Macaca fascicularis: one gene and its partner. The protein of the gene in region 2 binds, or shares a complex with, the protein of the main gene of each other region. Links are inferred from orthologs where the notes say so. Each region holds a gene or a part of one and is shown on either strand. Other genes may lie near its edges.

Region 1 (3,245 bases), on a different chromosome or scaffold from region 2:
ACTGCACCCAGCCAGCCAGAGTGTCTTTTATGGGGCTTAGATAGAGCAAGGAATCCAGTTTGGGAGTACCCTGCTGGGGTGACGGTGAAATTTGTGCTGGAGGAAGAGGTGCCAGTAACAACAGGTACAGGTTTAGCAACTCTTCGCTCTGACTCCTCTGTTCTCAGGCCCCAGGGCCTCTAGACCATAGTTTCAGGTCACCTTCAAGTGTCTCCTCTTCATTTAGACCTCCAGTCTAACCTCAGGCCCGATGTTGAGGCCTTCTAGCAAGAACTATGAAGCCCAGACTTTACCATGTGAAGTTGGTGGCTATAGTGCCTGGCTGAAGGCTTGATGCCCCTTTCGATGGCCTATCCCAACCCACTCCCTAATCTTGTCTGCCCAGAGGGTACCTCTGTAGAGTGCCAGGCCCAGGACCCACAGGGCCCAGATAGCATATTAGCCAGAACCTGTGGGCAGAGGAGAGGAAAAAGGCTGGAGATGTCAGCAGGAAGAGAACCCCAGTGCCCCACTCTTAAGTTTACATCTCTATCTGTGACCACTGCTACCTTCTTCTCCCAGAAAATCAGATACTGATTCCTCTTTCAATAAAATTTTATTTTAAATCCTTAGTGAATATCTAAGAGGAAAATATAAAGTGCTTGTCTTTTTTTTTTTTTTTTTTGAGATGGAGTCTCGCTCTGTCGCCCAGGCTGGAGTGCAGTGGCCGGATCTCAGCTCACTGCAAACTCCGCCTCCCAGGTTCACGCCATTCTCCTGCCTCAGCCTCCTGAGTAGCTGGGACTACAGACGCCCACCACCTCGCCCGGCTATTTTTTTGTATTTTTTAGTAGAGACGGGGTTTCGCCATGTTAGCCAGGATGGTCTCGATCTCCTGACCTCGTGATCCGCCCGTCTTGGCCTCCCAAAGTGCTGGGATTACAGGCGTGAGCCACCGCGCCCGGCAGTGCTTGTCTTTAGAGTTGGGAGGTCAGGGAAGAGGGAGAGGCCCCCTGGGTTCACACCATTTGGAATTTCCCAGTCCCTTACAGATGAAAGAGGGTGTATATGTCAAAATTAAAAAAAAAAAAAGGAAAAAAAATTAGCCTTGAGTGCTCCACCAGCCAGTGTGTGCGAGGATTTTCAGGATACAATTATCACAGACAACTATTGAGACTTATCACAAAGAGGACAGGTCAATCGTGTGAAGAATGAGTCTATTTCAAAGGAGACAGGAAGAACAAAGAGGTGAGGTGGAAGATGGGTACCCCACGCTCTACACCAGGGACAGAATGGCTGCCTGCTGCTCTGGAGTCTCCTCCAGCAAGTATCGGGCAAAGGCCTGCTCCATCTGTATTGGAAGAGATGGAGAAGAGTGTCTTAGTGAGTGCATCAGGGACAGACACCACCCCCAGGAGCTCCTTCCCCACTAGGAAACCCCCTTTGCCTCCTGAAGTACCACTGCCCCCGCTCTCATTAGATGGGTACTCTGCCCCTGCTCTGAGCTCACCTTCACTGTGATAAGATTCTGTGGAGTATGGCTGGGGCCACGGCTCTCTTCCCAGAAATTCAGTGTTACTTGGAACTTCGGTGGGGGGCCTAGGCCCTGGAAGTACTTGGCCAAGTCTGAAAGAGAAAGGGTCAAGGGTTGGAAGAATTTCAAAAAGAAGAGAGGGCCACAGGCAGGGAGGCAATAGTGAGAAACCCATGATGGAGAGAGGTAGGAGGGGGTCCTGCCACAGCAGGAGCTGCAAGGTCAGAAGTACTTGGAACTAAATGCTACTCACCCGTGTGCAAATAGGGAAAGGGTGGCCCTGCCTCAAATAAGTGCTTAGAAGTAGATCACTGCACAGCTGAAAAAGCTCTCTGCTGGGAGAGTTTAGAGTCCTCCCGGGCAGCAGCCCTGGCTGCTAACACAGATGTGCCCAGACCTTTGCTGCTTGCTCACACCCTTCCAGTGCTAGGGTACCCATGGTGCTGGGAACACCCACACTCTGCACCCGTGTACACCTGGTCCCACTCTTAAGGTCAGGTTTAGAATTGAGTAGGAGCTGGAATTGGATGGGAGAGAAGCGCAACCCTAAGGCATGCCTGGACTGTAGTAGAGACAGTGCAGCCAGGGCCAGAGTGTGTGATGTGTGCCAGCTCTCCCAAATCTGTGTATATAGGAGAAGGCCATGAAGCTCAAAATCTCTGTGCCAATTCTTCTGTGCACCTTCACATAGTGACTGCATGCTTCACTGTGATGGTGTTCTTTAAGATACGACACTCTTGTGCTGGGCTCTACCTGAACCACCTCTTCCATTGTCTTGGCTGGAGGAGAGCTGCCAGGTAGCTGCCAGGCTGGGCATATGACCACACAGGATGTGCACCACACAAGTGCAGGAGTGCCATGCATAGGCTACATGGAGGATCTGCTGGCAGATAGGGAAGTGGCAGGACCCACCAAGTTGGGCCCAGGGGGTACTAAGAGGTAGGGGGTGGGAGCTCAGGTGCCCAGAGAGAGCAGCCTCACCTCTGCGGAAGCAGGCGGTTCTGAAGAGCTCCACACACTCGTTGCTGGGCAGCAGATGTGGGCCTGGCCCAGGTGGAGCCTGGGGTGCATTCCAGGAGATGGGGATGGGGCAAAGGCGCTGCACGAAGAGGCCTCGGGGGTTGCTGGCCACCAGGATGCCCCTCTCAAGCTGGCTCAGCAGGCGCTGCGTGGGCTCCAGTGGGCCAGGCTTGGGGAACAGCACCTGCTCCATGCTGCTCTCAGAGCCTGAGGGCTCAGCCACAAGGCGGCAATCCAGGCTTTGCACCTGGGCCTCGCCCACCACACGCCCGTTGTAGATGAAGGTGAGCAGCAGTGAGTAGTCTGGGGAATAGAACAGCCCTACTTGGTGCTGGAGGAGCATGCAGGCTGGCAGCAGCCCCTCCCCAGGGGAATAGCTCCACCTTCCCTCCCTGCACCAGCCAGGGGACTTCTTCTCAGGTTTTCCTGTCACTTAGGCAAGTAGCTAGTATGTGATTGACCATGAGGCCTCAGGGTTTAATGACCAGGGGCTTGTAGTTTACTAGAAGGTCCCTTGAGATTGGGCCTCTGTTTGGCCCAATGAAATCAACGTCTCAATGTAGATTTCCAGGAGAGTGTATAGGGTGATATTTTTGGGAAGCAAGCTTTTTGGAGTCTGGCCAGGCATGTGGAATTCTCGCCACCTAGAAACCAGTGCCTTGGGCTATGGTAATGTGGGCACAGTTTGCTGTAAGCCCTGACTGACTAGATA
Region 2 (3,749 bases):
TCACGCCAGCTAATTTTTTGTAGAGATAGGATTTTGCCATGTTGCCCAGGCAGATCTCAAACTCCTGAGCTCAAGTGATCTGCCTGCTTCAGCCTTCCAAAATGCTGGGATTACAGGCATGAGCCACCATAACCAGCCTAATGGTAATTTTCAAACACACACTAAAGCAGAGTGACTAGTACAAGGATCACCATCCAGCTTTAACAAACTACTGTTTCCACTATCTTATTTCATCTATCTCTCTAATTCATTTATTTTGCATTTATGTGTTTGTTGTTTATATTTGTTTATGCTAAACAAATATAAGCATTTAAAGATCAGTGTTGATGTTAAGTATTTATTACAGCATGATCCCTGCTGACCCTGAAGCTTTTTTTTTTTTTTGAGATGGAGTCTTGCTCTGTCACCCAGGCTGGAGTGCAGTGACATGATCTCGGCTCACTGCAAACTCTGCCTCCCGAGTTGAAGGGATTCTCCTGGCTCAGCCTCCTGACTAGCTGGGACTACAGTCGCCCACCACCATGCCCTGCTAATTTTTGTATTTTTAGTAGAGATGGGGTTTCACCATGTCATCCAGGCTGGTCTGGAACTTCTGACCTCAGGTGATCTGCCCACCTTGGCCTCCCAAAGTGCGGGGATTAGAGGTGTGAGCCACCATGCCCGGCCACCTGAAGCTTTTTTAGGAGCTAAATCTTTTTGGAGGTTAGGTAAGTACACCCTATAAACTGCCCTCCATATAGGAAGGAGGAGCTCCATGCTAGAAGACATCTAAATGCTATGCAACGGGTTGCTCAGTCCCTAAGAATATGACACGTTTATGACCTGTGAATCTTGAATATAAGTTATCAACTTTGTGAGATCCTGAAACTTCACTTAAATTTTTTTTGTTTTTTTTGTTTTGGCAGGGCACAGTGGCTCATGCCTGTAATTCCAGCACTTTGGAAGAGGCGGGAGGATCACTTGAGGTCAGGAGTTCAAGACCAGCCTGGCCAATGTGAAATCCTATCTCTACTAAAAATACAAAAAAATTAGCCAGGCATGTTGGTGGGCACCTGTAATCCCAGCTACTCAAAAGGCTGAGGCAGGAGAATGGCCTGTACCCAGGAGGCAGGGGTTACAGTAAGTGGAGATCACATCCAGCCTGGGAGGCAGAGTGCAGTCTCTGAATCAAAACAACAACAATGAATTGGCTTTTGCCTGTCACCAAGCAGGCTGTGCCTTGCATCCTTCTCCCCACTGTTCCCTGCTCGCTGCCATCTGGTGTCTATTTAGGAAACTGAAACTTAAGCTTGTTGCAGCCTGAGCCTAACAAAACAGAATTCATGCACATTAGTGGTCTAAAAAGGTCACATGATTTTATTACAAAGTAAAAAGAAATGCTTGGGGTGGTATAGTCTTCTACTAACATGAATAACATCAGCTGCCCTTCTACCTCCAGCAGGAACAAGGGAAGGGAGGGATTGGGCAGGGGCTATTTTCATTTTAACCCTTTTAGTAGTGCTTGATTTTTAAAACTATGTGTCTGTATTGCTTTTATGATACAAAAAAATATAAGTTAAAAAAATGATTAGGTGGCCAGGCATGGTGGCTCATGCCTGTAATCCCAGCACTTTGTGAGGCCCACAAGACGGGAGGATGGCTTGAGCTCAGTCAGGAGTTTGAAACCGAGCCTGGGCAACATACTGAGATTCCATCTTTAAAATAATAATAATAATAATAATAATAATAATAATGAGGTCCCAATTCTTGAGGATTTAAGTGTCTGATATTAAAGGAGCAAGTCAGCAAAGATTCAAATATGAAAACAAAACAAAAAACCTGGTCTCCCCGAATGGATTGCAAACACTGAGGTTAAGAGCTAAAACAATTTTTTCTCATTATCTCTCACTCTTAAGCACATATTTTGCACTCAAGAAGCTTTTCTGAAATGAACTGAATTTTGTGTGTGACCTTAGGCAATGTTTCATCTTTCAGTAGCTTATACTTTTAAACAAAACAAATAAAGACGATAGATTTATCTATCTTTGTTTTTAGATTTATCTATCTTTGAACATCGTTTTTAGGTGAAGATAAAAAATAATGCAGAGCAGAGTAACGTCAGATACCGAACCAACAATGCCAGATTCCGGGTCTCGGAAGCTGCAGGGCAGTTTTCGGGGAGGGGCATTGGGGTTGGGGAGATAGGCTGGACAGGAGAAGATCGAGAACCGAGCAGGCGACAGACAGCTCCTCTTTCAACCTGGGGACAGAAGCTGCCCCCTCCAGGGCGTAACTCCTGGGGCCAGTCGCCCTTCCCTGGGAGGAACTCTCACTCTCACCCCCACCCCTACCTCAGCACACCCTCTCAGGGCCCGTACCTGATTAGGGTTGCAGTCTCCGCGCCCTCCACTGGCTCTGGTCGCGACTTCCCGTCCGTAGAAGGAGTTCGGGTACTAGAGCCTCAGGCCCCGCCTACAACTTCGGCCTACACCCTCGGACCCGCCCCCTCGTAGTTGGCAGCGGAAGTCCGGAGCGGCCCCATTCCCAGTCGCCACCCCGACACTGGCTGCCACTCAGTCAAGCCCTTCCCAGACTGCGAACTCACTGGCGCCGCCGCAACTACACCCCCCCGCGGGGCGGGACAAGCTGAGCCGAAACCACACCTGCAGCTCCAGCGATTGGTGGAGAAGTTCAAGTAGGCACTTTCTACGAGGGGAGGAGTCTAATTAGTGGACTGGCCCAAGACTGAAACAGCTGATTTTCGAGAACCCGCTCGTGAGCCACGGAACCGAAACTAGCTTGAGGAGCCTGTAGACGCCAAGGGCTCCATGGGAAGGGGTGGGACCGGAATTTCGACGCCTTGGGATAGGAAGAGGAGGGCTGAGGTAATGAAAACAGTATTTTTTTTTTTTTTTTTTTTGAGACGTGGTCTCGCTCTTATCACCCAGGCTGGAGTGCAGTGGCGCGACCTCGGCTCACTGCAGCCTCGACCACCCGGGCTCAGGTTATTCTCCCGCCTCAGCCTCCCAGGTAGCTGGGACTACAAGCGTGCATAACTCCGCCAGGATAATTTTTTGTGTTTATTGTAGAGACGGAGTTTCGCCATGTTGCCCAGGCTGGTCTTGAACTCCTGACCTCAGGTGATCCTCCTGCCTCGGCCTCCCACAGTGCTGGGATTACAGGCATGAGCCACTGCACCTGGCTAATAGCTATTTATTGAGAGTACTGTGATAAGCACTTTAGATTAATTGTGTCATTTAAAATTTACAGGGCAACTCATTGAAGTTAAAATCATTCTCTCCTTTAGAAATTTAAAAACTGATCTTAGTTCAAGAAAGAAGTTACCAGTCAGTGATCACGGAGGCTCTAACAAGTGGAGCCTAGATTCAAAACCAAACCCTCTGACTTCAACCCCCAAACATTTACGTTCCTACGTTTTACTGTACAGCCTTACTCCTGAATAAATCGGAGTTTAAAATTTTGAAGACATGTATACAGCTTGTCAGGATATTAGATTTATTAGTTCTGTGGTTACTACCTTCTTTTATATCCCAAGACTCCCAGCCCCAGGATCTAAGTCATAGCTCTTGATTATGGCCCACCCCCAGTAGGGAGCTGAACTTACTACTTCTGATATGAAAGAAGCCAGGGTAGTTGTTTCTTCCAAGTCACTCACATCTGAGATGGCCCTTAAACCCTCCTTGGTGGTCTCTGGCTGAGAGATGTTTGCGTCTTTCCGATCTTGGTAATACTGGATCAACTGCTGAACC

Evidence for each region. The genes of interacting proteins can lie anywhere in the genome.
Region 1: the proteins of STAT2 (region 2) and IRF9 are in contact, whole or in part, in a crystal structure (PDB 5OEN), measured with the Mus musculus proteins. The link is inferred for Macaca fascicularis from reciprocal best matches to the Homo sapiens genes STAT2 and IRF9. Residues at the interface, in NP_064347.1 of Mus musculus: Arg163, Gln164, Lys166, Asp167, Glu168, Asp170, Val171, Phe174, Arg175, Thr177, Val178, Phe179, Leu181, Lys182, Asp188, His190, Gln191, Gln193, Gln194, Leu197, Thr201, Lys204, Met208; in NP_032420.1 of Mus musculus: Leu206, Leu208, Tyr212, Leu233, Asp234, Arg236, Ser244, Glu245, Ser246, Ser247, Met248, Asp270, Arg271, Leu274, Val275, Ala276, Asn278, Ser279, Arg280, Phe283, Val284, Gln285, Leu287, Cys313, Glu315.

Annotation. Positions count from the first base shown.
Region 1 is NC_088381.1:91,979,714-91,982,958, reverse strand, and holds the end of IRF9 (interferon regulatory factor 9), read right to left. Parts: intron 2,837-3,245; coding exon 2,495-2,836; intron 2,394-2,494; coding exon 2,267-2,393; intron 1,606-2,266; coding exon 1,490-1,605; intron 1,331-1,489; coding exon 1,197-1,330; 3' UTR 583-1,196; downstream 1-582.
Region 2 is NC_088385.1:63,163,824-63,167,572, forward strand, and holds the start of STAT2 (signal transducer and activator of transcription 2), read right to left. Parts: upstream 2,577-3,749; 5' UTR 2,358-2,576; intron 1-2,357. Other genes in the region: APOF (apolipoprotein F), read right to left, coding at 3,524-3,749. UniProt on the Homo sapiens protein: Signal transducer and activator of transcription that mediates signaling by type I interferons (IFN-alpha and IFN-beta).